Linked DNA regions of Oryzias latipes. The protein of the gene in region 7 binds, or shares a complex with, the protein of the main gene of each other region. Links are inferred from orthologs where the notes say so. Each region holds a gene or a part of one and is shown on either strand. Other genes may lie near its edges. The genes, in order: ddx42, sf3b4, sf3b6, mybbp1a, dek, sf3a1 and sf3b1.

Region 1 (4,177 bases), on a different chromosome or scaffold from region 7:
AAAACTTCCCTGCGGCTTGTTCATACACCAAAGGAAGCCCACACCCCACCACAGCTAAAACGAGTCAGCTTACCTGAGTTGAGCCACATGTCAAAAAGCATAGATTTTTCACAGTAGTGGCTGTGAAACCTTAGTAACTGACATTTTAAAGTGTGGGCAGGAGGTGGGTTAAAAAAATATGTTTTACGTATTTGTATTAACGCTCTCAATTTTATTACGTTTTTATGGCGTAAAATCAAATATTTGGAACGTCAACTTTTTTGATTGGATTGCATCTTAATCACAAGCTAAAAACAATAATTTTAGAAGTCATTTTTACAAAAGAAAACATAACCACAAACGTCTTTAACTTACATTTAGATTGATGTTTAATAGGATCATAAGCACCTTTTAAAAATAAACACTTTCTGCAGTAAACAAGTAAACAAGAATCTGCGTGCTTGTCTCTCTGATCAAACAAATTAAAGACACAGAGGAAAGGGTATAAAAAAGATTTTTTCAGAGTGAATTGAATTGAATTTGAATTGGTCACTAGATATTTTCTCCAAAATCAGATCTTGTCTCTTTCCGGTGTGCTCACCTGCAGCTTTACTAATCTTTAGCAACTGTCCAGAGACAGAGCAGTGTCAACCTTGGTTGCATTTCTTTCCACGACAGTCCTATGAAAGGGCTTAAAACTGAGTATTGTAGTAACTACACTTTTCCAAATATCTGTTTATTTGAGTTTAGAGATCACATTTTTTTGTAGCTATAAACTAAATTGACTAACATTTTATTTCCTTCCTTTTAGTGATGAAATTGACTTTTAAACGCAGGAAATACTGGTGTGTTGTTTTGAACTATTTTATCTTTCAGATTTCTAGTGTTACAAAACTAAATGTTTTGTTTAAGGCATCAAGTTTTCAAACTTTTTAACTTGGACTGCAAATAAAAAAAACATAAAAAATAGGATTTTACAGTTATATTAATAAACAGCTAGAAATATACAATTAATTTTGCGTTAGCTACAGAGGTTATGCGATTAGTCACGATTAAAAATGTGCATCAATTGACAGCACGTGTGTTTTTGTATGTATGAATGCTCATGCAGAACGTGCACGTGTTTACATATGTCTGTATGCTTAAATAAATAGCTGAGTCTTACTTGTTTGCCTTCTTCTCTTTCTCCTTCTCCTCCAGTTTCTGCATGTCTTGAGCTGCTTGGCTCTGTGACCAAAAAAACAACAACAAATTTTACTTTCACATGATAATACAATTAAAAACACGTTCTTGGACCCCCAAGACACAGTTATTTGTAGGTTGTTGGGAAAAATAGCTTAAAAATAGCTTTAAAAAAAACTGTTTTATGGTCAAACTCGTAGATTTTGTGGCTCTACATTAAGGAAGGCTTTAGGCATTTTAATGTAGACTCAGTGCTGATTTGACATTAGCGGATCAGTAACGTTTCAGCGCAATTTTCATCTCACCTCAACCTCTGCCATAAAGGCATCCAACGGGTCATCTTCACTGTCCGAGCCTCCGCCTGCCTTCATCTGCTGCCGTGTTGGGGAATTTTCGGCTGGAATGTAAGGCAGATCCACATTGCTACTGGACTCTTCTTCGTCATCTTCAAAATACCTAGAGTGGAAAGATAAACAAACCTAAAGTACAGCTGATATCCGCACAGTTAAAGGAGATGCACTTCACTTACGCATTTTCCTCGTCAAAATTGGCTCGTTTAGTCCCTATTTTGTAGAATGACGGAAGCTGCTGGCCTTTCCCATATCCCCCAGTCGATCCAGCGCCCCCAAATGTTGTGTGAGATTTGTGAGGAAGGCTGGACTCCTCTTTCTTCCCTGCCAGGGAAAAGCCTCCAAAACCAAACCCCCGCTTCACACCCGAACCACCTTTATTCCAGTTCATAGCTTTCCTGTAAATAAAACAACAAAACATGTTGGTTTGATAAATATTACTTGACAAGACTTGCATTATCTGGATGAGCAGAATCTTTAAATATGTCCAAATATGTTTAGTTAAAATAACATAAAATCATGTAAGAAAATATGTTCATTCTGTTTTTATTTTGGCAAGGAACAGCATTCTCATTAATAATAAAAGCGCCGAGTTTTATCCCACATCTACTTTGCCAAAAATCCTGCTCCACGCTTGCTGCTGTTTTTTTTTTTTTTTTTTGTGTGCTCTTTTGGGGGGGTATTTAACAATACATAATGTATTTATTCATTAGGACTAAATCATTTACAATTTCTCCAATTTTATTTACTTGCGTGAGACTATATCACATTTTTGCTGTCACTTGTGTAACAAAGAAAGCCATCAACAATGTACAGATCAACAAGGTATCGTTCGTATGTGGGCCGCCTAACCCTGCGTGTTTTTATATTCCCCGGGCTAGCCTAGGCTAACGTGACATCGTTCTCGTAAAAATAAGCAATTATATAACAACAATAATTTTAAATTACAATATTTTAGAGCAGATACATTCTTGCCAGTTAAACCTTACTATTGTTTAACATTGCAACATTTAAAGTAGACAACTATTTAGAATGTGACAGAATTAGCTTAAGAGGTAGCTAACTTAAGGCCGCTGCGAGGCCGAGACGAAAGTGCAAAAACATTCCAACGCTGATAAACGAACTTAGTTTATATTTTGGAGGACAAAATCATTTTTGAATGTATGAATGCATCACAAATGTGTTAAAAACGAACAAAACACACATATTTACCTGTTTAAGTGACAAAAAAAGCTTCCACTAAAATCAGGGATGCTTGCGTCATCAAAGGGCGTCCACTTTTCAATGTGGGCGGGTCGTCGAAGGGGCGCGACTCGGTGACCAATCGAGGAAAAAACATCCCGCCAGTAAGGATGAATTTGTGAAGACGACAAAAAAGACGGATTTATGATAGTCTCACTTTTCCAAGCATCAATTTATGCATTCAAACCGTAAGTTGTAAATGCAGAAACGGTCTACCACACCACTGTTGTCGCTACTTTAGCTAAGCTGACGTCGATTAGCCTTCGTTCTCCATGGCTAAGAGAGAGTCTTGTTCACTGACTGAGCAAATCGACACTCAAGTCTTTGCACGTTGCTTTATTTTAATTTTTATTATTATTATTTTACTCTGTCTGACGTTGAACATTGGTATTTTTTTGTTACATTAGTAGGATTAATTTAAACATGGCTGTGTTTGGCCTAAATTATCAAACTTTCTGATGAGCTGTAATCATAAAGTCATTACTGCTAGACTAATTTGCTGTTTTAGAAGTAGAAAGTTGGTAACATTTAGTTTTTGTTTGCTTTGTGAGCCATTTGGTTCAATGTTGCAAAACCAAAACATGGCCCAATGAGTTTGGAGTAAATGTTTATAACTGGCGCCTCACAGCTTATTATGGATTTCTTAATTTTGTTGTCAAGGATTTTTAAAGAACTGCTTAGTCTTAATAATTATTTCGTTACTTTTGCGTAAACATAAAGATAGTGGAGCAAACACAAAAATCTTCAATGTGTTTCTGGCTCTTTCTTTGAAGAGAAACCTCACCTACACTAACTGCAAACTCAGGAGGATCCATGTCTTTTCTTGTAAGTGTTTTCTTTAATTGTGGATTTGATTTTTTTCAAATAAATAAATGTAAAACAAAATCTAGACATCCCCAGTTTTCATAGAAGGATGGATTCCTCAAAAGTTAAACAAGATGAATTAAAGTACTTCACTTCCCTTACAATGTTACTGTTATGTTTTTGCAATTGTAGTTAATGGCATATTTATGTTTATATTTCATCTAATATTTTCATATTCTTGTTTGCATTTCTTTCCTTTTTCATGCTCATTGTTAACCTTCTGTGTTTGTCAGCGCTGGGTATCTGAGAAATTGAGCGTGGAGAGTCTACGGGATTTGGAGTTATTTCGAGGTGAGATTCAAGCTGAAAGAATTCATAAACACAAGATCCAGAACTTTCAAAAATAATCAAGAAAAAAAAAACAACATTTTGTAATCAAGTCCGCTTATCTCTAAGTTTGAAGTGTAAAATCATGTTGAAATGGTTTATTGTTTTTTTTTTAATAATTCTTTAATAGATTAAATTCTGACACAAAAGCAAACAAATGCTGCCCTGCTTTCCTGCATCTTTTGCGCAGTTAATGCAGCAGATCATTATTTAAAAAAAAACAAAATATATAT
Region 2 (4,224 bases), on a different chromosome or scaffold from region 7:
CTGTTTAAGTCTAAAATGATCAAATCAAAACTAAAAACCAAACGACTCTGAATCTGATCAGGATATCCTTAATTCAGCTGACAATAATTCATTAGCAAGTTTAGTTTGAAAAGGTAGGTATTTGTTTGAAGTTTTACTTTATCAACAACTCAAATATTAGGATGCTACAAGCACAGGTGATTTCATAAATGTAAGTCAGTGACTGAGATGATTGGCGGACCTGGTTCCTTACCAAACCCCCATTACATCACTTTCAGAGCGTCTCTGCCAAATCCTGCCAACTCTGACACTTCCTTCAACGCCGTTTTTCCTTTCAGGTGTTTTTTCTATTTGACAGAGACATGAAGAGGCGTCATAACACTCACCCATGGGGGGTCCATATGGTGCTCTGGGCGGCATGCCCATAGGCGGGGGTGGGGGGAGGTTGGGGGGCGGGGCGCGTTGGGATGATCCTGGTGGAGCAGGAGGAGGTGGAACCATGCCAGGCGGAGCGGGAGGGTGCATGGGCATCTGAGGCATACCTGAGTGACAGAAACGGATCAAACTGGAGGTGGCGGGAAGAAAAACTAGATACTAAAACGAGAACAGGCTTTGACTTTCAGATGTTTATGCGGATGCCAAACAAAGTAAACGCGGCTCTGAGGCTCAAAACCTCTGTATTTCCTCCGACAGAAAGACAAAAACCACTCTTAAGAAGTCACAATGTCTCACCTGGATGCATACTTCCAGGCGGGAAGGGTGGTGGTCCACCTGGACCGCCAATACCCTGTGGGCCACCTGCTGATGGAGGCATCCCCATGCCATGGGCCATGGAAGGAGGGAGTGATCCGGGGGGAGGAACAGGGGGAAAGGCACCAGGAGGTGGCAGACCTGCACACACAAATCAACACAATCTACTTGAAGGACTTGTGGGTACATTTGTTTGTATTTTTGCAGCTAATTGCTAATTTGTATCTGTAAAAACACTTGTTTAGGCTAACACAAAACACAAGTCCCACACTGATCATCCTTTGATCTTTTTTCAAAGCGGTCTTTTATGAAAATGATGATGGTGATGATGCCATTTTTAGCCAAAATCAAAAGATCCTGTGTTGTTTTCTAGAACATAGTTTCTGCGGAATGGCAGTAGTTATGTAAAACTACAGAAAAATCCTTTTTTTTTGTCTGCTTCAGATTTAAATCCAGTTTTTAATTTTTGCAGTTTGCAGTCAAATGCAAGTTTGAGCTACATTTTCTTTGTCTCTATCATCAGAAAAATGCCACAAAAATACATCAAAAAGACAATGTTCATAAAAGCGAGTCTTTAAAAAAACAAAACTATTTTCACATAAATGTGACGTAACACCCACCTCCCATGCCCGGAATACCCATTCCAGCTCCTAGTGTGGTCAGGACCGGGGTGGGAAGAGAGGGAGGTGGTGGGGCATCAGCGAACAGCTGGTGGGGCCTGTCCGCCTGGGACAGCGGATTCTGCGCCGCCAGGAGTCGCTCTGCGGCGGAGCCGTGGCGCTCCCCTTTAGAATCTTTCTTGAAGGCGTACGACACAGTGATGGGCCGGTTACAGAGGTACTGGCCATTCATGGCCTCGATGGCGGCATCAGAAGCATCAAAACTGGCAAAGTTGATAAAAGCGTAACCCTTGGAGTTGCCGGTGTCTGGGTCTCTCATGATCTTTGGTGTTTGGAGAATCACACCGAAGGCACTGAATGTGTCGTAGAGCAGTTTCTCATCGATTTCTGGGTCCAGGTTACCGATGAAGATGTTCGCACCCACATCCAGGTTTTTGTTGTGTGCCGAGGCCTTATTGACTCGAATGGGTTTTCCATAGAGCTTGATCATATTCATTATTTTAATAGCATAATCAGCATCCTCTTCGCTGAGGAATTCCACAAAGCCATAACCTAAATAAAGAAAAACAATTTTGTAAAGATAATTTTCTAAGAAGATAATTGTTCAATCTTGTTGACCAACTGAAAGTGCACTCACCCTGATGTTGACCCGTGACCCTGTCTTTGGGCATGTGCGTGTTTACCACAGGACCAGCCTGCAGGAAGAGTTCCCATAGCAACGGCTCCGACACTTTCTCATCCAACCCACCGACATACACCGTGGCATCTGGACAGACAAGAGCAGGCTTGGTGAGTAAAACACTACAAAGGTTTCCACTTTCTGACACAAGTTAATGAATACGAATTACAAAAAGAAATGACCATATTTATGTTCACTTAAAGTTTCATTAGTTCTTTTTAAAACCATTGTTGAAACTGTGAAAAATTTAATGATCATGCTGCCTGGTAAGAATAAAATGAGGTCAATGAACTGAAGTTAAATTATGAAAGAAGTTGCAGTTGTTTAGTATTAGTTCCTGGCATAAAATATTGCTTTTTCTCTTTCTATTTATAGATTTGCAACAATGGAAATGAGTATACGTTTTTTCACAGCTTAATGCTTATATAAAAGGACGTGCATCTAAAGTGCAAATTCGATAAACGATTAATTGGGAGAATGGCTTTATTAGCTACAAGCTAGGCTAAAGCCGCTTCACTCCATGTGTTTACCCGGTTTCAACAGAAGAATATTAGCTAATTTTAGGATCCATATTCGCTCTATGAGGAAAAATGTGCCCTTGTTGGGTGTTACTACACATTACATACATTTATGCACGGCTAAATGTCAAAAGAAATGGGTAATAATTCCGTAAATTACCTTGGTTTCTTTCAGAAATTGGTCCCGCGGCCATGTTGAATGACCAACGCACCAGAAGCGTTCATGTAGGAAGCTCCGCCTCTTCCTGTTCAGCAAACCGGAAGTTATAATATAAAATGAACTCCTCTTTCAAAAAATAAAATACAATATCTTTGCTTCGTTTTAGATTATTTTTTTAATAGCATCGAACAATAAAAACACAAGACCAGATAAAGTTCAAAACTTTGTACGGACCAATTTATTACATATTTATATACATTTTTATATAAATCTACTAAAAGTATAAACATGGAATACAAATTGTTCATACAAAATACAATTTGGGCATAATAAAACCATTTTTATAAAACAATACTGTATCAAAATAAAATAAAAAAGCATGTCATGCAACAAAGTTCAAAACACAAAAAGCCAATGTTTTCATTTTATAAATGCATATATAAAAATGGGTTAAAAAAGCCTTGATCAATAATAACATAAGTGAAATGCATTTGTGTACAGAGCTGAGACTTTTACATTAAAAAAAAATGAACATTAAGAGCTAAAAATGGCTGCTCATTTAGAAAAGTAAGAAACAAAAAGGACACACATAGGTCAAAGTCTCCAAAAGCTTAATAAAAAAGATGTTCAGATCATTTTTTGATGGCTCTTATGATATTGCAATCATTGTTTCTAAAAATAATAATAATAATAATCAAACGAAAAGAAAAAGGAAAAAAGTCTTTTGACTAATCCAACTTGAGTCACAGACTTAGCAGAAAAAAACAAATTTTTATTTCAGTCAAACTGTTCATTCCTTTTAAGTCTCATTAGAAATCTTTCAAATGTTTCAAGTAACTGAGCAAATTACAGATCCATTATGTAAGAAGTGTAAAGGCCAAAAAGTTTTAATTAAGATGTTTTTGAAAGGTTTTACAATCAAATACTACCTATTTTCTTAAAGTTGTATCAACATAACACAATTCCAAATGGTAGACTTTAATCTCAGTCTTTTGGATAATTTTCTGTTATTTTATGTTGCCAATTCCTAAACTTTTATTGTGCTGCACAAATGCCAGCCCTCCTGCTGTTTAATTTGCCTAAATCCAGACTGATCTTTTAAGTAGAGACAGTCCAATAAACTGCATTCACAAGCGTCTTCAAAAGACCACCGGATCAACTGCCTTCATGTTTATAGGGTGCCTAACTATAAAGATTTTTACTTTTCAACAAGTGTTATGAGGTTGTATTTTATTTTCTCAATGTAAAGTTGTGGTATCTCAAACCAAAAAAGGAAAAGCAGCTCAGAAACTTTCCAAACTCCTTTTTCTAACCTTCTTATTGTACCTCTAACCAACACTGAATCCTGATCCATCTACATTTCAAACACAATCCATACCAGAGCAGCATTGTAGGTCCTTCTGTCGGTGACACAGAGCATACATTCGGCTGCTGGTGTTCTCACCACATACAATGAAGTCTACAATAGACAAAAGGAACATGATGACAGATTACCATCTAATTCTTGTTAAACCTGAG
Region 3 (3,589 bases), on a different chromosome or scaffold from region 7:
GAGGAATTTTAAAACAAATGGATAGTCCCATGTAAAAATATAAAATATGATAAAGTGGATAAATTAAAGAATTCAAAATAAATAAAAACTATTAAAACATTTGCTAAAAGGCAGTTGAAAAAGATGGGTCTTGAAGCTTTTCTTAAAAGCAGCTATGCTCTCTGCAGCTCTCAGGTCCTCTGGCTGACTGTTCCGTAAACAAGGGTGTACCCCACCTTTGCCCTACAACAGCTAGGATAGGCTCCAGCAACAAATATAGCAGGTTAAGATGGATGGACGGAAAAGACTGAATGACGGTCAGCTTCTCAAAAGATACTTTTCTGTTTGTGTGTAAATGTGGGGGAAAAAAGAAAAATTAGCTGATGTGACAGGTTTACAAAACAAGAGTAAAGTGAGTTCATATGTGGTGTTTATAAAACAAAAGACAATGGGTTTAAAGAAAAAGAGACATTTATTTTACAATAAATGGGTTTAAACAAACATTACATCCATTGATGTTCTTGGAGCACAAGGCAGAGACCTGTTAACTTTCAAATAAAATTATGTGGGGGGGGGGGAAAGAACTGAACTGAAAACATGCCTGGTTTCACTTCAAATTAAAAGCTCAATTAACATCAGAGAAGTCATTTTTAAAAAAAGCAGACGGCAGGTCATGCATAAAAGGTTGACAAAAGCACCAAAACAAAAACCTGACCAAGCAAAAATTTTCAAAAAAGGGAACATTTGTACAGGTACAGAGAAATCTAAGGTGTGTGAGAAGGTTTTGATAGTCGTGGAGATCATTTGGGAGGGTCTGTGTTGATGCCGTATTTCTCTTTTAGGAGCTTCAACTGCTCTTCCTTCTTCTTTGTGTCCATTTTCTGGAAAGCCTGCAAAAATATGAGCGGGTTGATGGTAAACAGAAAAAAACAAACAAACAAGGAACCAAAAAGGTTGTAAATGGATGAAATAAAAAGCATACGTACTCTGTTGGCGTTGTAGTAAAGAACAACCAGGTAACGATTGCAGACGTTGAAGCCTGACAGGTGATCGCAAGCGTTCTTGGCATCAAATATGTCTTCATAAACAACATACGCCGTTCCTCTGCTTTCAGGTGTGTTACCCCTAAAATACAGCAAAAGCATGAAATGGTCACACATCTTAACCTGTTCCATAATAATATTGTCCTTAAAGACCCACTCTGATGAAAACTGTTTTAAAACATTTTCTCATGGCATTTTTCTGATGAAGGACAACATATATGAAAGAATATTGAGCTTATTTACATATTTATTTTATTGTCTGAAAACATATGAAAAAGTGATCTAAGAGGGACTCTTAAATGATGATAACATGTGAGGGGAACAAACAAAACAAGCATTTTTAATATGATTAATAATGATTTAAATGTCAAATTTAAGCAAATGCTACACCACAGTTTGGAATGAAACGATTTTTTAAATAAATTTTGCTTCTCATTAATACTACCATGTAAAAAAATTACATTTATATATATTCATTGTTAGTAGACGTGGTTGTGTGTTTAGGACAGACATTTTTTTAAATTAAAAATAAACAAATAAAACTGAAGGTATGAAGACAAAACACTTACGTTCGTATTTGACGTATGGGTCCATATTTGCCAAAAATGTCGTACATTTCCTCAGCCGTGATCTTGTAAGGCAGATTTCTTATGTATAGGATTCTGTTCACCTCTGGAGGTAACCGAATCTGCAGCACACAAAAAAGAAATGTGTAACAGAAAGACTAGCATGTAAACAAACGGTATAAGAATTCTTCACTAAAGTGTACCCTCTAACGTGCTAAAACAATAATAATTCTTTAAAATTTTAAGATGACAAAACAATCAATTTTACCATCTCATTTTCAAAATGCCGTATTTATTAATTTTTTTACGTAGCGACGCTATCTTTTAGTAACCAATAGCTGCTAAAGGCTAACGGAGGGCTAATTGTCCCTTTCGTGAGCACCAAAAACCATATTAACATATACTCGTTGTTATATAGTAAAGTTAAACACAAAAATTGACCTTACATTAGCGCGTTTCGCAGCTTGCATAGCCATGATGACAGTTTATTTCGTCTGAACAATAGCTAAACAACAAACACGCAATGCCTTTAGCCTTCACCAGGAAATGGAGGGACAAAACGAAGACGAACATCCGGTTAACGGATAATACCAATAGGTACAGCAATAGGCATGTGCTTCCCTCGTGTGGTTAAAAGAGGAATCACACACATTTTGAGATACTATTAACACAACTTTTTTTAAATTTCTTTGTAATTCTGTTCTTTGACCTAGAAAAAATCAACATGGCCATGAAAGTGGTTTTGTGGTTTCACAAGACACAAGAAATAAAAAGACTTATGTGTACCTCTCTCATCAAAGTGTTGTGCAATGAGATATATGTGTAGGGAAAAGTAAAATTACTTATAAACATCAATAAAATGCAAAACAGTTTTTTTTGTCATTTTTGTGTTAGGAAATTCCCTACACTGACAAAATCTATGTATTTAACTTTTTTGGAGAAAAATATTGGAGATTTGAGCACTAGTTAGAATTGCAGTTTGACCTGTTTACCCACAATTGGGGTTTTGGCGTTAAAATGAATCTACTCCCCTTTTGTGTCTTTTTTTTCTTTAAAGATAAAATCCAAATTCTATACATATTTATGAGGGGGAAGTTAGTAAAAATAACCATCTCTCATAAAAAAACAAACAGAAAACAAAGCTGTGCTTTTAATTTCTTTAAAAAAATACAGTCTAAAAAAGATCTTAATTCAAAGTACTCGATTCCTCTTCTTTTGTGACATTTAAAAAAAAAGCGAGATGACAATCACCTTTATAAATCTAACCACAAATAAAAAATATTTTTTCTCTAAAATGTTCGGAGAAAAAAAACTATATATAGAATATTAAATAGAATTGTGATAAAGTATTACAATATAAAAGAGGAAAAATAAACGACGACATGAGAATAAAGTCATAAAATTATGAGAAAACAAATCAACATGGGGTAATGATTTGTTGAACTGTTGTGCTTTTATTTTCTGCAATTAACAGGTTATGGGTTAAAGAAACGAAAAGAAAAGAAAAAGTATTAGTGCGCAGGCGCCATGTGGGATTTGATGATTCGGTCCGGTAACGGTTGCAGATTACGGCGGGAGTTTTTCCAACGGCAAACTGGCGTCTCTCGAGGAAAATCTAGAAGGGACGTTTTATTGAAGTCTCGCGACGTGGAAAAAGATCGACGGTTGAAGACCAACTCGGCGAGGAGAGCTTTCTTAGTCTGAGATGAATAAACGGGTGAGTTTTAGTTTAACATTTTTTGTAAACCAAAACGATAGCCGAACTCCTCGTATTGACTTTAGTTGTTTTTTTTTATTCGCAAAACGCCCGTTTACAGAAACCCGTCCTCAATGGCTAACCTAGCTTAGCCAGCGGACTGTGCTAGCTGCTGACGGTCCGATTGGATAAATTGTTTAAGTTTTGACCATAGTTACGACAAAAATTGTGAAGTCATAAAAATATATAAGAAAGTAATAATAATAATAAACTCATTGTAGGACTGACAATAGAAAAAAACGTAT
Region 4 (3,500 bases), on a different chromosome or scaffold from region 7:
CATTGTCAAAGAGAAGAAGTAAATAAGAAAAAAAGCAACAGATTTCACATAATTAAGGGGGTATTAAGACTTTTGGACTCCATCCGGACAAAATTAAGCGGACTGGGTCTGGAACAAACGGTCTTTTCCAGTCTGAATACACCCATAAAAAACCGCTTCAATGAAAATTGTGTTCTTGGTGTTTTATAACAACTCAGAGGTGAATTTCTAATAAACCACTACTGCTTTGCAGAGACTATGTCCTACAAAACAACAGATTTTTTTTTTACATTTTGGCTACAAGCAGCATAATCATAATTAAAAGACCACTGGGGACACTTTGAAAATCTCTCAAAAGATGTTTGGAGTGGGTCTTTGAAGATCACAGCTATATTGGGGGGGAGACAGGTTTTTGTGTTGTGGTCTCAGCATTGTGTGTCTACAGGAGCCGCAGGTGGTGCTCGCATGTGTGCAGCTCCTCCAGAGCCTCAGCCCGCACAAACAACACCTGAAGGACCTGCCCACCAAAACCATCATGGACATCCTCACAGAGGTACCAGCTGCTGCTCTGTCACTCCTTTAACTACTCATTACTACAATCTGAACGTTTACCATCATGATGCCGTCTCGTCCATCAGATCCCAGAGGAAGTGTTTGAGGAGGTCCTGCTGAGCGCCCTGAAGTCTGACCTGGCGTCCGCCTTCAACACTCCAGAGCAGCTGCAGCTGCTGCTTGTGGCTTTGCAGCGCTTCCCGCAATCGCTCAAACCCAAGAAGCTGAAGAAGCTGCTGGGCTCGGCCACCATCATCAATGCTGACAACGTCCCCAGGCAGGAGCTCCGTGAAGGTTTCTCCCCATTGGTCACGTTTGACCCAAATGAAACGTCTGATCCACGTCCCTGTTAGGCTGATCGAGGTGTTGAAGATGGCGGCGCACTCGGTAAAGAAGGAGCTGATTCTCCCAGCGGTGGCCCTGGACCTCCTGAAGCTCTCTCTGAAGGAAGACAGCTTCCAGCTCTTCTGGAACAAAGCCGTCACCGAGGGCATGTTCAAGGAGCCGTCCGGGCCGACTCAGTGAGTTCATACCTAAAGGGAGAAAGGTGAAAAGTCAAAAGAGGTTCTTAGTGATCTGCTGCAGACGTCCGTTTCTGCTGTTTCTGCTTGATTTTTTTCCTTCACTTAGAACCGCTGATATAAATGACCTTTAGTTTTTGACATGTGATTAGGTGATTAAAGCTCGGACTTTTCCATTCACAGCTGCTTCTGGCATCTCTGCAGAACGTTTGTGCTGACTTGCTGTCCTGTGTTCCTCCCGTTTCTGTCAGTTACCTGAGCTTCCGGCTGCTCGGCAGCGCCCTGCCTCTGCTCTCCTTATCCCAGCTGAAGGAGGTTCTATCCGGAGAAGTGATGATGCACTATGGAGAACATGTAGTGTCTGCTCAGGTCAGTGTTCAAATCACAAGGCTTGAACTTTTTAAACTGCAAAAAAAAAATCACAATTTTTTTTGTTACTTTTAATTTAAAACTGTTTCATGGAAGCTGAAAGCGGCCTACCCTAATTTTTTTTTCTTCTGATAAAAGACCAAGTCTTGAGTGACATGCCGTCATTCCTGCCTGCCCCTCTCATGCATCATTCTGTCCTCTGATCACTAATGAACTCGACAACAACCACATGATCACTAGACTGTAGGTGCAGCCGGGCCAACCTTTTCCTCAAATGACGACCGAGTTGAACGTCGTACATGTTTTCCAACCTACCTGCCATTGAAGCTCCTTATTGGCTGGTCCAGGTTAAAAGTAAAGGGACTTGAAACAGATTACATCTCGGCATCTTAGTGTGGGAAAGAGAGAGATGGACGCCACAGTGTAGTCTTTATCATGACAAAACGACATTTGTTATCTCATGATGACGTGATAATAGATGTCGTTATCACGAGAAACCAGTCAATCTGATTTTTCCTTCACAAGCCAATCCTGATTTGACCCCATGTATTCATGCCTGAAATATGAAGAGAATACATATAGAGCTTTAAAAATCACTTTTATCTGTTGACCAGCGACAGGAACGTTGGTCATTTTTGCTGCCTATGCTGTTTATGGTCATATTCTTACGTTGCTTGAACTATTGTGTCATAAATAAACTTTTGGAGTTGAGTTTCCTCAGAACTCCTTCTTCATTTTCCTTTTTTTCCAGAAACCAGATCGCTTCAAACTGGCCCCAGAGATGGAAAAATACGTGTCGGACTTCCTGAGGGACTGCCAGGACTCGGATAAACAGCTCGCCGTCGTGGTGGCCTTCTCCTCGCTGACCAACAACGGCTACCCCGTGGTGCCATCAGTGTGGAAGGTGGTGCAGCACCTGCAGCCTGCAGCTCTGCAAAGCTACGTGGCGTGGCTCAGGAGCATGTTTCTGCAACCTCAGATGACAAAGTTGCTGGATTTCAGCACACGCAAGCAGAAGGACAAGCAACAAGTACAGCCAGAGTGAGTTTGTTCGTGAAGATTCATGCAAATTGTGATGCAGAGAAATGGAAGCGTGGAACAATGCTGCTCGTCTTCTCCCAGGATGGAAACTCCTGTGTCCCGCCTGAGAAAGTGGCTCGTTGCTCGACTCTGTTCAATCATCGATAACCATCAAGTGAAGAAGGAGGAGGCTCTCATCATGGATGTGGCCCGGTGAGAGTAGCTCTTTGTGACGATGAGGAGGTAGCGAGGAGAAATCTGAACTGATTTTTCTTTCCAGGTTTGTGTTTTTTCACGCTTTCTTCAGCACCAAAAAGGTTTCTCAGGACATCAAAGAGACCCAAGAGACGCTCTCCGTTTCCCTGGATGATAAAACCAGGGGGGCGCTGGTCAATTCTTTCTTCGGGTAAGTCTAAAGCTTTTCTCCTCACCGTCAGAAAAAGAAAATGTTTTCTGACAAACTGAAGGGGATTCTGACCGATCTTCTTTGCAAGATTCCACAAAAGTTTTTAATGTTTCTGTAACTGAAAAGACATTTTTATCTTTCATTTCTATTCCTAAAACTGAGAGATTTTTAGTAAATCTGATAAACAATTCCGAGCTACTTGAACAGTTTAGCTTATACATTTATTTGTCCTTTTTGACCGTTTCAGAAAAACATTTCATTTAAACTGAACATAGCTGGAACTTTTATTAATCAGGAAAAGAGTTATGACCTTAAAAACTAATCCAAGAAGTATTTTTTTGGTTTGTTTTCATGCTGATTTGAACCCGTTTTCCTAAACTCAGTCATAGTTAGCTCTGAGTTAAAGTCAAACGTGAAACCCTCTGAAGTTTGCAAAAACTAATCTGAGGTGAAGTTTTTAGGAAATTCTCTGGATTTGTCCAAATTTCACTCTTTGAGCTTCAAAATGAGACGACCCTTAATGTTTTTGCTCACCAGTGGTTTGGTCTTGGAATTCTACCATGTTGGTCATTTCTGGCCAGTATCTTTCTGTTGGTGGAGTCATGAACACGGACCGTAATTGAGTTAAGTGAGGCCCGCAGTTCTTTGGATGT
Region 5 (4,050 bases), on a different chromosome or scaffold from region 7:
CTATCTTAGATGACCCCCCCCCCCCTTCCATTGAGGTGTTCTCCTACCATGACAAAGGTGGATAAAGGTGGAAAGATTTCCTGTAATCCATGGACACCAGTGAAGATCACAAATCATTGAAGAAAAAAGGTTCAGAGCACTGTCTAGTGGGTCTAGATGACCCCACTCCCAACGTTAAAGTGTCTAGGATAGAACAAGGGTTACCTATACAATGCTACTCGCATGTCTTTGGATGATTTCACAGCTAAATATGATTCAAATAGAAAAGATTTTGAAAACATTATTAATGCCGTCCCTCAAAATGTTGTAAATCAGTCTCTGATCTGTTTCATGATGTCATCTACAGACGTCCTGCTGTCTCCACGCTTCTGGTTAATGGACACAACACAGCAACGTCCAAACCCCCCAACCACCACATCAGAGAATGTTTGAATGAAACATATTTTCCCTGCATCTCAAATCCTGACTATTTAACCCAATATTTTAATAATTCAGAAAATAAACAAATAGGAACTAAATATTTCAACCCCCCCCCCCCCCCCCCCCCCCCATCCCTCCTAAAGCCAAGGAAGTCCACTTTAACACCTTTTCAGGTATTTACCCTTCCAAGGAATTACTAAGAAAACAGTTTGGAATTCCTGAAACCTGTTGTTTTCTTCATGTGGAGATGAAACAACTGAGCAACTTTTCTCTGAATGTTTTCCTTCTAATGTCATTTGGAATAATTTACATTATTGGCTTTTCCCCAAGATTCCACGTTTAGCAGAATTTTTCTATTAAGGACATTATTTTTGGGTTTATTTTAGAAAACAAAAACACAGAACTTATTCTAAATGTTGTAATTTTTTGGGTAAATTCTCTAAACATAAATGTCGATTCCTTAAAATCATGAAGAAGTCTGCTCTTTTTTTTCATCCGTTAACGTCATGGAAAATAAACGATGGAACTTCAAAGTATCAGAGGTAATCTCCTAAGTTATTGATCATTACGATATCCATGTGAGCCCCTCATTTTATTTTATTTTAATCTTTTTATCTTTTTAAGTATTTTTCTGTATTAAACTTTTTTAATGTTGTTTACATTTTTCTATTCCTGTTGTAATTGTAACGTGTTGAATTATTTGCCACAATACTGTAAACCTCAAGTGTTTTTTCAATAAAAGAAAATAAATAAAGTAAATTAAAATGTAAGCAAAAAGAAACTTCCTCTGGTCCTCCAGACCGGTAGGGGGCGGGACCAACCCGCCTGAACCAGAAAAAGAAGACTGTCCAATGAACAGAGCGGCCGCTGTAAGCCCCGCCCTCGAAAGAAACCGCCATCGTGAAATCAAACGGGCGCAGTGACAGGTAAGCCGCGCGCGGGTCTTCATGAAACGGTGAACGTTTCCACAGCTCGCGGGATTCGTGCCGTTACTATACGTGTCTCCGAACTGCCGCCGTTCGCGTCACACGGCAGTTAAGTCAGTGCGTGCAGCGCGCGCGCGCCGCTCAAACGATTGTTTGTTTCGAACTGAGCTCTTCTGCGCATGCTCAATGGGGAACTAACCGGCGGCGCGCGGCTAGGATCTGAGCTTTTCTACTTTATGCTTAGTTTTCTTCTTTTGTTTAAGCGCACCTACCCACGTGCACGCCCTGAAACTGAGCGCGTGGCGCCTGAAAGTAGGGAGTCTGTAGGAATGGCCCAAATGGAGTCCTTTCCTTTATCAATAACAGATGACGGACATACATGCAGCCACTGTGTGGATGAAAACCCCTCTGATGAAAAACGCTGTTTTTGATGATGGAGACATAAAGAACATTAAGATATAAATGGATTTTTCTGTTTCCAAGTCGCTGTGAATCAGGAGCAGATGAAAAAAAAGACTGTTTGAAAACGCTTGTAGGTGTGAGGTAGGAGCTACAATGGGCGGGGCCGCAGTCTCAAAGCTCCGCCCCTTTCCGATCATCCACCTGCAGACCAACCGATTCATGGTCGTCTCTGTTTTCCTGGTCTGAGCTGGAATCTGGATCAGAACCGGACGGCTGGATGGCTCTGATGCTGCTGTTACACTGCTAATGTTGGGTCGTGAGGGGCTGTAAGCTAGCAGGAGAGAGTTAACGGAGGGATGATGGGATGTGGGGGTGGGCTTAAGCGTTCCTGCCCACAACAGAATTTCTGATGAGCTCTGCAGAAACTGTGTCCCACAAAACAACACAGCTTTTTGGGTTTTGTCTAAAAAGGACCTCATCAGTAAAAGACGACTCTGGAATCGGATCAACAGATGAACTTTAATGCATAAAAACATCAACGATGGTCCGGACTGCAGAGTTCGTCCTCCTAAAACTACGGATCCTGGAATAAAGGATCGTCCGGACTGATGTTAGTGAAAATCACGACTGATCCGTCTAAATCCTCCAGTTCTTTACATCCGTGTCTTCTGGGTCCGGATCAGAGGTGTTTAAGGTTCCGCCTTAACTGACCCGCCAACGGGAGAACTGGGTTCTGCAGCCGGTCCTGTCATTCTACCCTGGAATAAGGAAACGTTTCAGGTTAGCGGTGTCTGTGACCTTTGACCCCGCCCATGCACTTGATGGAAGTTCCCTTTGGAAAACGTTAGTCTGAAGCTCCTCAGCAGAGACTTGAACGTGACCCGCTGGTGTAACGTCTGCAATGTTCAGGATGAAGACGACCAAACGGTTTCATGGAATTTTACCGCCGATCGTGTTTCTAACCCGGTTGGAACGCGACCACACGCGGATCAGAACCAAAGCGTTTTCTTCTACAGAGTAGAAGTTCTCCTGGAACGGCTCTGGTTCTGTCCGTTCCGGTGAGCTCAAATCAAAGGCTGTGTGTGATGTCATTGTTTGTAACGGTGATGTCATCATCTGCAGGACTCGCGCCGCCATGGGCAGCTCCGCGGCGTCTGAGGAGGACCGTGAGGAGGCGGGTCCGGACCGGAGCGGATCCACGGAGTCCTGTGAGGACGACGGAGCTATTCAGGTGAGCTCACCTGCGTACCTGCTGCTGAACGTCTGCTCTGCTGCAGCCGGGGGGGGCGACGTCCTCCAGGGGAAGCGGGCCAAGAAGACGGTGGAGAGGCTGGACCTCCAAGCCCCCAAGCAGAAGGAGAAGCTGAAGATCGGAGACGGTGAGCGGCCGGAGCCAGCCCGACCACTGTGGACCAGCAGCTGACCACAGGTTCGATTCCCGCCCTGCAGGTACTGGAGACAAGCTGGGGGACATTCCTCGCACCGCCCACCAGATCAGCAGGATGAAGCCAGCAGACCTGAAGCCGCTCCATTCCATCCTGTACGACCGACCCGGGAAGGTAAAGCCCACAGGCGGCCCGGTCCGCTGAGAACGTTGTGCTGACCGAATCCCTTCCAGGTGTCCACCATGAAGAGGAACCTGCGTCTCTTCAACGGGTTCCCCTTCCAGGCGGACAGCGAGCAGTTCCACCGGAAACGGGACAAGCTGCTGAAGTGAGTGAGAGCCGGAAGAAGGTCCGCTGGTCTCTGGCAGAAACCACAGCCGCTCGTCTCCACAGGAGCTCCAACCTGAGCAACAGCAAGCTGAAGGTGGTCTGCACCGTGCTGGACCTGGAGAAGAAGGGCACCCACGCCGACCTCATCCACAGGATCCTCAGCTTCCTGCTGGCGCCCAAGAACAGCGGCAAGGTGAGTCCAGACCTGGGACCCCAAGGAGGACCCGGCTCCTCTGGAGAGGAGCCACCTTCCTCCTTCAGCTGCTCCTCTCAGCACCTCCTGCTTCCTCCTTCAGCGCCTTCCTGTGAAGAAGAGGAGGAGGTCCAAGAAGAAGCTGACCAGTGAGGACTCCAAGAAGAAGAGCAGGCCCAGAGAGCGCAGCTCCTGCAGCCCCAAGAAGTCCAGAACAGGAAGCAAGTCCAAAGCCATCGTCATGGACTCCAGCAGCGACGACGAAGACGAGGACGAAGACGAGAAGACGGGAGCTTCGGCTACGGCGGCAGAGTCTGACGGAGAGAAACCTGCTGATGAAGAGGAGCAGCCCTCAGAGAGATCAGACAATGAAGAGCAGGTAAGTCAATATTGA
Region 6 (4,216 bases), on a different chromosome or scaffold from region 7:
CAGGTTGATAAAAAAACGAGTTCAAATGATGCTTTTCACAAAAACCATGCTACTTTCTACGGAACTCACCTTCTCCTCTGGCTTCTGGATTTCCTCTTCACCAATCTTCTTACCAATGGCTGTCTCTTCAACACCAAAGATATCAGTACGCCTCTCAGCGAGCTGCTTCAAGCTGCTCTCGATATCCAGACCAGGAGCATAGACTTCATCCTCTGTCTGTCTATCCCTGATGCTGCGGTCTCTTTGTTCCAGCCAGCGTGGGTCCAGCAGACCAATGCGCATGTGCTCCTGCATCTTGCTGGCTGGGATCTTCTCACCAGTGATTGGTGAAATGAGGTACTCATCTGGAGCTGCAACTGAGGGCATAGGCTTGGAGGCTGTGAAAAAAAAAAAAAAAAAAGGAAACAAGTTTTAATGCACCGCTTGTTTTATTTGCTTGTTTTTATACTTCATAATATTTCAATCACAGAAAAAAATGTACCTTTGGGATCATAGTCTTTTCGAATGATGACGTGGTCTGGAGTCGGGGGCAGAGGAGGTGGCATGGGGTTGTCAGGTGGAAGTGGAGCTTTAATTCCATCGTCCTCATCATCTGATCCCTGGAGAAGTAGCATTTTAAATTTGTGAATTTGCTACACAAGTAACCAAGAAACCTAGACAAGTGTTGGACTTTGTATAAATGTAGTAAATGATAACTGTTTACCTCATCCATGTCCTGCACTTGTGTGTCTTGGTCAGGCTGTGAGGGTTGACCTCCGGCTCGTTTCTCCCGTTCATCCTCTTCATCCTCACTCTCAACTTCCATCTCCACCTCCTCACTTTCTCCATACTTCTCATAGCGCTCCTGGATGAGGATTCGAGCACCAAGCTCCTCTGGAGTGGTAGGTGGGGGGAAGTGGCCTTGGAAAAACACCAAATGAATAAATTAATAACTATGGTTCTTGCAACATCTGGACCTGGTGTTCCTATAGTCATGCTACCTTGTTCATTGGGCTGGAAGTCCACAGTCTCCACCACGACAAAGTCATGCCAGTCAATTTGAGCATAGGCTACGCGTTCCTTCTCTCGCTCCTCTTCCTCCTTCTTTCTCTCACGCTCCTGGTACTTTGCCCACTCAACACGGTATCTCACCTGATGTTTGTAACAAGACAGTTTTAAACATAGAAAATAATCTTCTGAAGGCTAAAATAAATTACCTGGTCCATAACCTCCTTTGGATTCTCAGCCTCTCTCTTTAGTTTGGCCAGCAGACCCTTTGGGGGGATCAGAATCTAAAGGTTGAGGCAACATTTAAAAAAGTTCAATAACACAGTTTCAATAAAAAAACAAAGAAAGCTGTAATTTTTGTCCTTTACCTTGGTATATTGTTCCACCAGTTTTGTGAAGTAGTTGAAAAGGCTGTGCTGGGGTCTCAAAAAGTCAAATTGGTAGTTCCTCTGTTCTTTTTGCATGAGCTGGGTGAGAAACTGACGGCCGTTTCGTGCAACAAACTGGGCAGTGAGCTTCACAACATCAAGATCGAATGCAGAGATTGATGGAGGATCAGCTATGAATTCAAACTCTGGAGGCGGTTCTTTGGGGACCACAGTTTCCTGAATCACCTGGGACTGCACCTGATGAAGAAAAGGCAAGTTTGTATAAATATAAACCCTTGTAGGTCCGGGCACAGTAAATAGACAGTCCTTACTTTTTGTGGAAGCTGCTGAGATTGCTGCATAGCCTGCTGCATAACCTTGGGCACTGCGGCGGACGGTTCTTGAGCTTTGCCCTCCTTAAACTCATTGACTTTGTGGCGGTAGTAAGCATGGTAGGGATCGTTGGGGTTGAGGAAATTAAATTTTGGATTGTTGATCTCATTCTGACGGATTCTTGCTTCAAACTCAGGCCCATTCCTGTAAAGTGACAAGTATAGAGTCAAACTACAGATAGCAAACACCTCTTACAGCTGTACGTGACAGTTCTTTGGCAACCAACCTGGCAACAAAGCTCGCAGTCTTGTCAACTATATTACGGACCTCAGGAGGAGGATATATGATGCCAACAATAGGTTTAGTGGCTGGAGTTTCCTCCGGAGGTGTATCATTCTGACAAGAGAAGGTTCAAAGTAAGAATATTTATATTTAAAAATAACATCAAGTACAGTGAAGTTCCTCCTTAAAAATATTATTACACAAACATTATCAATTCACTTATTAATTAATAAGACTTACTTTAGGTAATTCTAAGATACACTGCAACAATTTAAACATTAAACCACTCGATCATTAAAAACCTGAGAATACAACTAACACATTTAGTCTAAACCATATGCAAAGATACCAAATATTGAAGTGCAATCATAGTTTAAGTAATATCTGTTACCTAATTTTATTGACTTTCTCAACTTGGGAATTTTTAGGGCCACACATATAGACGCAAACGTTGCCCCATATGTTTTACAGCTTTATAAACATTAGCATTTAATTTTGGACAGGCTTAGAAAGCTTTGCATAAAGGGGGCGAATTTTATAAGGCGATAAATCATTAAGAAAAGCGACGGATATCTGAGGCTAATGTTAGCTAGTTAGCGTCCTTACCTTGTTGTTAGGCTCAGGCTGAACCATTTGAACAGGCCCGGGCGGCATGGCTGCGTCTTTTTAACGAATCACCAATTTTACCTGAAAACACTAAAGCAACACACATATATTTTGAAATGAATTCTTTAAAAAAAATTCTGTAAGTCAAAAAGTAATAGCTAATACAGCTATAATTCTTTATTTGTCGACGTTAATACTCACCGCGTCTCGTTTTCGTTAACGCAATGGCGGCCAATTACTTCCGGAAATATCCGCTAAGAACTGTGGGACTTGGAGTTAACTGTTGCCAAGGAGACCTCACGTCAACAAGTACTTATAGGCGCCAAATAAGCGTTTTAGACATGAGTTTGTTGTTGGGTCGTCAGGATTCTATCAAGAATCTAAGAAAAGACCTCATCGATATTCAGGGTGCGGTTCTGGACGTGCTCTCCAGAACAGGACCAGTCTGCGCTTCCTCCTGGAAATTCCCGGACAAACTTTCCTGTCATCTAGACATTGTTGCTTTGTTGGAGGAATATGACTTCGTGGCAGGAGAAGATGACTTCAATCAGCATTCCCACATTATTCTCCTGGAATTGATGATTGACAGGTAACCTAATGTTGTATTGCATGTAAAATATATATATATATATATATATATATATATATATATATATATATATATATATATATATATATATATAATGACTTTAAAAGCATCTCTGCATGTTCTTGTTCCCCAACAAGGCTCCTGTTTCTTCTTCAAAGCGTCAGCGTTTATGCTGAACAACAGATGGGGGTCCACAGACCAGAAGGAGCTGCACACAGAGGCAGCATGTCAGTTGGTCTTGTGGTCAGGAATTATTGGGGGGATTTACTTCAATTTGCAGATAAAAAGGTAAAGAAACCTCTTTTTCTAGTAATGCCACAGGGATAAAAACACATGCAAAAGTATTTGACTTTAAATGCCTTTTATGTCTTTTTAGGAACTCTTCAAAAACATTGCAGAAAAGACAAATTCAGTGGAATCTGATGAGTCAAACGTCGAGTCCCCTCTCAATAGATCCAGCACAAGTTGCTCCAGGCATTCTTCCATATCCTGGTCTTCCACAAGCTCATTTAAATTCCTCCCACAAAATAACATCACCATCAGTTCCCCCGAACAAACCTCATTCCATCCTAAAACTGCCTCCCATAATGTCAGCTGCCAGACTGCACAAACGTCCCTCATCCCTTGTGGTACATGTCACCAAGTGCAATCTCTTTTGAGAAAAACTGGAGAATCTTTGATAGATCTGTTTCAAAGTGAAGGTCTACCCTCATCTCTGCAGCCTCTCTCAGCAGTTGTGGATGAGACAGTGAGGGTGGGACATCTGACTCCAGGTGATGTTGCACAGTGGGCCAATGAACAGCTCAGAGACATGCGCAGGCTGGCAAAACACCTGCAGGATGTGAGGGGAACGGTACTGCCCCTCCAAGACAGAGTAGCAGCAGCTGAAACGGATCGTGAGGCCATCAGATCTCAACTAAAAACAGTGCAGAAGGATTTTGAACAACAACTAGAAAAACAGCAAACAAATATAGAACAACTGGAGTTTTCACTGCAGGAAGCACAGAGAAGCGCAAAGCAAACTGAACAAAAGCAACAGGAGGAGCATAAA
Region 7 (4,293 bases):
TGGGGGCCCTTGGTGGCATCAGAGAGCTGCACCCTCCTCTCCAAACTCTTGTAGTGTGAGGACCCCCCAGGGAAGACGGTGTGACAGCACACTCTTTGAGGGGCCTACCGGCAGCTGTTCCTGAAGAACTGTGACGTCATCAGGTACCCCAGCAGAGCACCTTCATGTGCCACTGAGCTTTTCTGAGGACAGCTGCCGTCTTTGATCCAACACCTGGATGCAGGTGAGGGGAGGAGCCAGGATGTCACCTGCAGCATTCCTCACATTTCAGACCTGCTGTCAGTAACATCTGCGGTTATCAGTAGTGATGATGACACAAACACTGAAGTGAGACACTGGAGGTTTTCCTCTATTTCTGCTTCTGCCTGTTTCCCCCGCAGTTCTGGTTCTGGTTCTGGTTTAGTTCTAGCCCACAGACCCGTTTTTATCAGATGAATCAATGAAGAAAAGGTTCCGCTTGAAATGAGCGGTGAAAACCTTCCGAGCTGAACTTTTTTCTGCGGAAGTTCTTCTTCTCCGTCTGCGCCGCGGTCCGTCCCCTCAGAGGCGGAACCGAGCTCCGCTTTGACCCGGGCGGGATGCTGAGCGGCGCCTCGGAGGCTAAGCTAACGGTGGCTAGCGCACCCTACCTGATCGGCCAGCTTGAGGACCGCCATCTCTGGGTCAGCCGCTGCGACCTGCACGGAGCGATGCTGCGCGGCAAGCGTCCGCCTGGACCGGGGCTGCAGCGGCGTCTACGAGGCTCGTGGGTAACCGGTGCTTGCTGTTGTGAGGAAGGCCGTGCCGGGCTCCACGGCCATCAGCCCTGCTCCACGGACGCTATCCGCGGCGCCGCTAGAACGCGGCGGCCGCGCAGAGTCAAAGGGAGGCGGGACAGGTCTGAGCCGCCGCCGCAAACAACCCGCATCTACGGCTGCCGCTGGTCGGAGATGCCGCGCGGCTCTGGGAGCTTTACGGAGCACGCGGAAGCCTCCGTCCGCCCTGGGTGCAGTGAAGGGATCTGGGGAGACAGCGGGCTGAAGGCAGAGCGCACAGGAAGTGGCAGCGTCCGCCTGTCAGATTCAGAAGTGGAGCTTCCTCAGCAGCATCACCGGCCGCGCGGGTTGCCGCTCGCTGCCGCCCCTAGCGGCCACGCGCGGGGCGCCGCTCGCTGCTGCCCCTAGCGGCCACGCGCGGGGCGCCGCTCGCGGCTGCCCCTAGCGGCCACGCGTGATGAGCCGCTGAGGGGGCAGTGAGCGTAAACATGAATAAAGTTAAGTTAAAAAATTATATACAATAATAGAGAAAAATACATACTTATAATCATTATTCAACAAGGTGAATAATGATAATTATAATACTTATTATTATTGTTGCTGTTTTTTATAGGCTGTTTGCACAGTGGGTTGAGAGGAAAGAAATTTCATCTGTGCTGTAGATCTTGTAAAATTCAGTACATTTAAAAATAAAGCTGACTTAATATAATAATAATAATAATAATAATAATAATAATAATAATAATAATAATAACGTTTCTCTGTCGTGCTGGCTAAAAGAGGCGGAAGAAGAGGTGACGCACTTCCGGTGTCAGTCTCGAACAACCACCGTCAAGATGGCGAAGATCGCCAAAACACACGAAGGTAAAATATCACGAAAACCTGTGAATACGTTGTGTGTGGCCCTCTCTTCAGCTCTTTTGCTTTTTTAAATAATGTATGCGTTTTGTGGTGTCAAATGTTTTTTGAAGTTGTGCTTTGTGGCCGACAAAAACATAAAAAACGAGGCGGCCTGTGACGACGCAACGCGGACATTTTACATAATGGCGCCGGTTGCTAGCAAGCGAGCTGAAGCCTCACACAGCACCTTTGCTACCGTGAAATAGTTCACGTTACTGCGCTAAGCCGTTGAGTTCTGTGTATATTGGTATTTTATTTGTTAGTTTGTTATCTGCAGTTGTTTGGTTTTCTTTGTCCTGTAGATTAGCATATTTAACGCGAACACGCAGCGTGACCAACTTCGCCGTGCTATTTGCACAAAATGTTTTTGCAGTGCAAATGAACGATTTTGCAGTGCAAAACGGTTTTGTGTGAATCTTTGTGGTTCTTCTGTGGCAAAGAACCGATCATCCTATCGAAACCAGTCTGCGGTGTTTTGGGTGCAAACCTGGCCGTTTAGTTCACGAAGAACCGCGGGATGAATGTCAGCAACGTGCGTTTGTAACAAAAGCCCAATCTTTCGTTTAACGTGTGATCAGCAATGGGCGCGTGCTGGAGCGATCAGGCTCAGCTTTTGGTGTGTAAACAAAAGACCAGGCTGGAGCTGCTGTTCAGGATTGATTCATCATTAAGCGAGAAAACTGTTCAGGAGCGCGCTTGTTGCATGAAATTACATTTACAAATTTAGCCGATTTCAATTAAAAAGTCAATCAAAAAACTCAAAAGTCCCCCCCCCCCGTTTATTATGCGACTTAAGATCATTTTTCTACAGCTTTGCTATTTGTAACTAATGAAGTTGACTAAAAAAAGTGTCATTAATTGTTGACATTGAAGCTTTCCATAACTTGTTGTGGTTTTTTATTTTTACGAAAAACCCACATGGCCACAAATCCAGTTTTAACAATAAAATATTGTTGAAAAATGTAATGTATATTCATTCCCACATGTATTTTTACTTGGGTGCTTAGATATTGAGGCGCAGATCCTGGAGATCCAGGGGATGAAGGCCTCCCTGAAAGAGGATGCAGGTCAGGGAGTGGGCCTGGACTCCACTGGCTTTTACGACCAGGAGATCTATGGAGGCAGCGACGGTCGTTTTGTGGGATATGTCACTTCCATTGCAGCCAATGAGCAGGAAGATGTAAGTAAAGATGTTTTACCTGCAGTTTTCAGTCTGCTCCCACCGTGCTTGTCTTGTGTGAGCTAGGAGAGTCTTGCCGCTTTGGCGAGATTTGACTAGACTCTTGTTTCTCTTTCTGTCTTTAGGATGATGAAGATGACACATCGACAAGTTTGTTGGGACAGAAGAAGCCAGGCTACCATGCACCAGTGGCAATGCTCAACTCCATTCCCCAGTCAGATGAACATGTATGTGTTCCTTAACATGACAGGAGGTGCACCTTCTTTCCAGGACTTTGGATCAGAGCCTCATTTCTGTCTCCATTTTGCAGTACGACCCATTCGCAGAGCATCGCGCGCCGAAAATCGCAGATCGGGAAGATGAATACAAAGCTCGTCGCAGACAGATGATCATTTCGCCTGAGCGCCTTGACCCCTTTGCAGACGGTAAATGTCACCCTTTTTTATCCTGCCTCGATGCCTCAGTTTCACTTCTTTGTTCTGTTTCTGTGTTTTTCGTGGTTCTTATGACTCTTCCAAGAAAGCCAGTGGCTTCATCCAGGTAGATTTTCTGTTCAACCCTTCGACCACAGTGTAGTAGACTGAAACCTTCCTTTGTTAAACCCACTGTCAGTGTAAGAGGGTTTGAACAGGCATGGGTCGAAGGGTTAACAACCCCACAGTGGACAGCATGTGAGGGTAAACGGCGTGCACGGGGGCGCAGTCGACCACCCTCCTGAGTCTGAACCCTCAACGGGGCATTTGCTCAGCAGCACCTTCTTACTTTTGTAAGACGTGCTTTGAGAAAACATTGCTTTAAATTTGCCCCTTTAAAGTCTGACTTGCCCCGTTTCCGGACATCCAGGTGTCCTGTGGTAATTCAGGCGTTCAAGCTGGACAAGCAGAGTCTGTTCTGAACTGCTCCAGCTTTCAGGGTGAGCTTCTGCAGCGCCCGTGAATGCTGCTGTAAGCCGCTCACGGTAACGCCTCGCTGCCGCCGACCGGCCCGGGGCCGTCAGGTGTGCTTAGGCCGCGTCAAACCTGCATGTGAAGGCAGTTCTTTGTTCAAAGTTGTTTTGCAAATATATACTTTTATTTTACAAGTCTGTAAAATAGAAAAATGTGATCAAGAAACGTTGTGTACACCAATACCACAGGCCCATACTAACTGTCCTTAATTTCTCTCCTACAGCAGTACTGCTTTGCCAGTCCTGTACTGCACTCTGTTAAGGGTGCAGCAACTCATCCTGTGTAGGTTATGGGGGACACTGTGCACTTGTCAGTTTGGTCAGGGTCCACGGGCTGCTTGTTTGGGGGGCTGTGAGGGGAATCAGCGCAGCTACAGCAAACCTCCACCCCCAGCAGCCTCTTTGATTTGGTTCTTCAGAGACCAAGCATTTATTTAAAGCCTTTGACTACATGTCTTCATGTTGATGTTGAAAAAGAAGTCAAAGACCTGAGAGTACAGACTGAGCAGTGC

What was found.
Region 1: the proteins of sf3b1 (region 7) and ddx42 are in contact, whole or in part, in a cryo-EM structure (PDB 7EVN), measured with the Homo sapiens proteins. The link is inferred for Oryzias latipes from reciprocal best matches to the Homo sapiens genes SF3B1 and DDX42. Residues at the interface, in NP_036565.2 of Homo sapiens: Pro509, Pro510, Lys513, Arg517, Thr520, Asp557, Arg558, Tyr561, Lys562, Asp565, Leu566, Arg568, Pro569, Ile583, Ala607, Ile610, Ser611, Arg614, Glu622, Arg625, Asn626, Arg630, Pro646, Phe647, Ala650, Val651, Lys653, Ser654, Lys655, Lys656; in NP_031398.2 of Homo sapiens: Asn68, Glu71, Glu72, Tyr75, Phe76, Glu77, Asp78, Glu79, Glu80, Glu81, Asp114, Pro115, Leu116, Glu117, Phe119, Met120, Val123, Ala127, Asp130, Met131, Arg133, Leu134, Gly146, Ile147, Arg148, Ile151, Glu152, Glu153, Glu154, Asp155.
Region 2: sf3b1 (region 7) and sf3b4 share a complex: the UniProt entries of both Homo sapiens proteins name them as parts of the SF3B subcomplex of the 17S U2 SnRNP complex. The link is inferred for Oryzias latipes from reciprocal best matches to the Homo sapiens genes SF3B1 and SF3B4.
Region 3: the proteins of sf3b1 (region 7) and sf3b6 are in contact, whole or in part, in a crystal structure (PDB 2F9J), measured with the Homo sapiens proteins. The link is inferred for Oryzias latipes from reciprocal best matches to the Homo sapiens genes SF3B1 and SF3B6. Residues at the interface, in NP_036565.2 of Homo sapiens: Trp388, Ile392, Arg395, Asn396, Arg397, Pro398, Leu399, Ser400, Asp401, Glu402, Glu403, Leu404, Asp405, Ala406, Met407, Phe408, Pro409, Glu410, Gly411, Tyr412, Lys413, Val414, Leu415; in NP_057131.1 of Homo sapiens: Arg12, Leu13, Pro14, Pro15, Glu16, Val17, Arg19, Ile20, Ala32, Met35, Tyr36, Arg46, Gln47, Ile48, Arg49, Val50, Gly51, Asn52, Thr53, Thr56, Thr59, Ala60, Tyr61, Val63, Glu65, Asp66, Ile67, Phe68, Tyr92, Ala97.
Region 4: sf3b1 (region 7) and mybbp1a share a complex: the UniProt entries of both Homo sapiens proteins name them as parts of the B-WICH complex. The link is inferred for Oryzias latipes from reciprocal best matches to the Homo sapiens genes SF3B1 and MYBBP1A.
Region 5: sf3b1 (region 7) and dek share a complex: the UniProt entries of both Homo sapiens proteins name them as parts of the B-WICH complex. The link is inferred for Oryzias latipes from reciprocal best matches to the Homo sapiens genes SF3B1 and DEK.
Region 6: sf3b1 (region 7) and sf3a1 share a complex: the UniProt entries of both Homo sapiens proteins name them as parts of the 17S U2 SnRNP complex. The link is inferred for Oryzias latipes from reciprocal best matches to the Homo sapiens genes SF3B1 and SF3A1.

The regions. Positions count from the first base shown.
Region 1 is NC_019866.2:4,159,531-4,163,707, forward strand, and holds the start of ddx42 (ATP-dependent RNA helicase DDX42), read right to left. Parts: upstream 2,801-4,177; 5' UTR 2,724-2,800; intron 1,910-2,723; 5' UTR 1,903-1,909; coding exon 1,691-1,902; intron 1,618-1,690; coding exon 1,467-1,617; intron 1,207-1,466; coding exon 1,145-1,206; intron 1-1,144. Other genes in the region: strada (STE20-related kinase adapter protein alpha), read left to right, coding at 2,898-2,941, 3,527-3,578, 3,851-3,908. UniProt on the Homo sapiens protein: ATP-dependent RNA helicase that binds to partially double-stranded RNAs (dsRNAs) in order to unwind RNA secondary structures. Unwinding is promoted in the presence of single-strand binding proteins.
Region 2 is NC_019869.2:7,215,952-7,220,175, reverse strand, and holds the start of sf3b4 (splicing factor 3B subunit 4), read right to left. Parts: upstream 2,801-4,224; 5' UTR 2,741-2,800; coding exon 2,707-2,740; intron 2,116-2,706; coding exon 1,987-2,115; intron 1,902-1,986; coding exon 1,350-1,901; intron 871-1,349; coding exon 712-870; intron 522-711; coding exon 366-521; intron 1-365. UniProt on the Homo sapiens protein: Component of the 17S U2 SnRNP complex of the spliceosome, a large ribonucleoprotein complex that removes introns from transcribed pre-mRNAs.
Region 3 is NC_019882.2:13,000,340-13,003,928, reverse strand, and holds sf3b6 (splicing factor 3B subunit 6), read right to left. Parts: upstream 2,188-3,589; 5' UTR 2,065-2,187; coding exon 2,035-2,064; intron 1,711-2,034; coding exon 1,592-1,710; intron 1,105-1,591; coding exon 966-1,104; intron 870-965; coding exon 780-869; 3' UTR 501-779; downstream 1-500.
Region 4 is NC_019872.2:24,978,417-24,981,916, reverse strand, and holds part of mybbp1a (myb-binding protein 1A), read left to right. Parts: intron 1-424; coding exon 425-532; intron 533-617; coding exon 618-808; intron 809-884; coding exon 885-1,052; intron 1,053-1,303; coding exon 1,304-1,421; intron 1,422-2,172; coding exon 2,173-2,462; intron 2,463-2,543; coding exon 2,544-2,654; intron 2,655-2,721; coding exon 2,722-2,847; intron 2,848-3,500. UniProt on the Homo sapiens protein: May activate or repress transcription via interactions with sequence specific DNA-binding proteins. Repression may be mediated at least in part by histone deacetylase activity (HDAC activity).
Region 5 is NC_019874.2:32,321,396-32,325,445, forward strand, and holds the start of dek (protein DEK), read left to right. Parts: upstream 1-1,250; 5' UTR 1,251-1,346; intron 1,347-2,248; exon of another isoform or gene 2,249-2,506; intron 2,507-2,572; exon of another isoform or gene 2,573-2,806; intron 2,807-2,870; 5' UTR 2,871-2,883; coding exon 2,884-2,956; intron 2,957-2,989; exon of another isoform or gene 2,990-3,025; coding exon 3,026-3,127; intron 3,128-3,197; coding exon 3,198-3,307; intron 3,308-3,366; coding exon 3,367-3,461; intron 3,462-3,526; coding exon 3,527-3,656; intron 3,657-3,759; coding exon 3,760-4,035; intron 4,036-4,050. UniProt on the Homo sapiens protein: Involved in chromatin organization.
Region 6 is NC_019867.2:18,886,040-18,890,255, forward strand, and holds the start of sf3a1 (splicing factor 3A subunit 1), read right to left. Parts: upstream 2,801-4,216; 5' UTR 2,778-2,800; intron 2,667-2,777; 5' UTR 2,625-2,666; coding exon 2,577-2,624; intron 2,085-2,576; coding exon 1,975-2,084; intron 1,893-1,974; coding exon 1,688-1,892; intron 1,614-1,687; coding exon 1,356-1,613; intron 1,272-1,355; coding exon 1,197-1,271; intron 1,132-1,196; coding exon 981-1,131; intron 901-980; coding exon 704-900; intron 600-703; coding exon 482-599; intron 378-481; coding exon 70-377; intron 1-69. Other genes in the region: ccdc157 (coiled-coil domain-containing protein 157), read left to right, coding at 2,801-3,165, 3,303-3,453, 3,542-4,216. UniProt on the Homo sapiens protein: Component of the 17S U2 SnRNP complex of the spliceosome, a large ribonucleoprotein complex that removes introns from transcribed pre-mRNAs.
Region 7 is NC_019879.2:181,879-186,171, reverse strand, and holds the start of sf3b1 (splicing factor 3B subunit 1), read left to right. Parts: upstream 1-1,493; 5' UTR 1,494-1,591; coding exon 1,592-1,619; intron 1,620-2,662; coding exon 2,663-2,835; intron 2,836-2,960; coding exon 2,961-3,062; intron 3,063-3,145; coding exon 3,146-3,260; intron 3,261-3,376; exon of another isoform or gene 3,377-4,293. Other genes in the region: ankrd44 (serine/threonine-protein phosphatase 6 regulatory ankyrin repeat subunit B), read right to left, coding at 630-656. UniProt on the Homo sapiens protein: Component of the 17S U2 SnRNP complex of the spliceosome, a large ribonucleoprotein complex that removes introns from transcribed pre-mRNAs.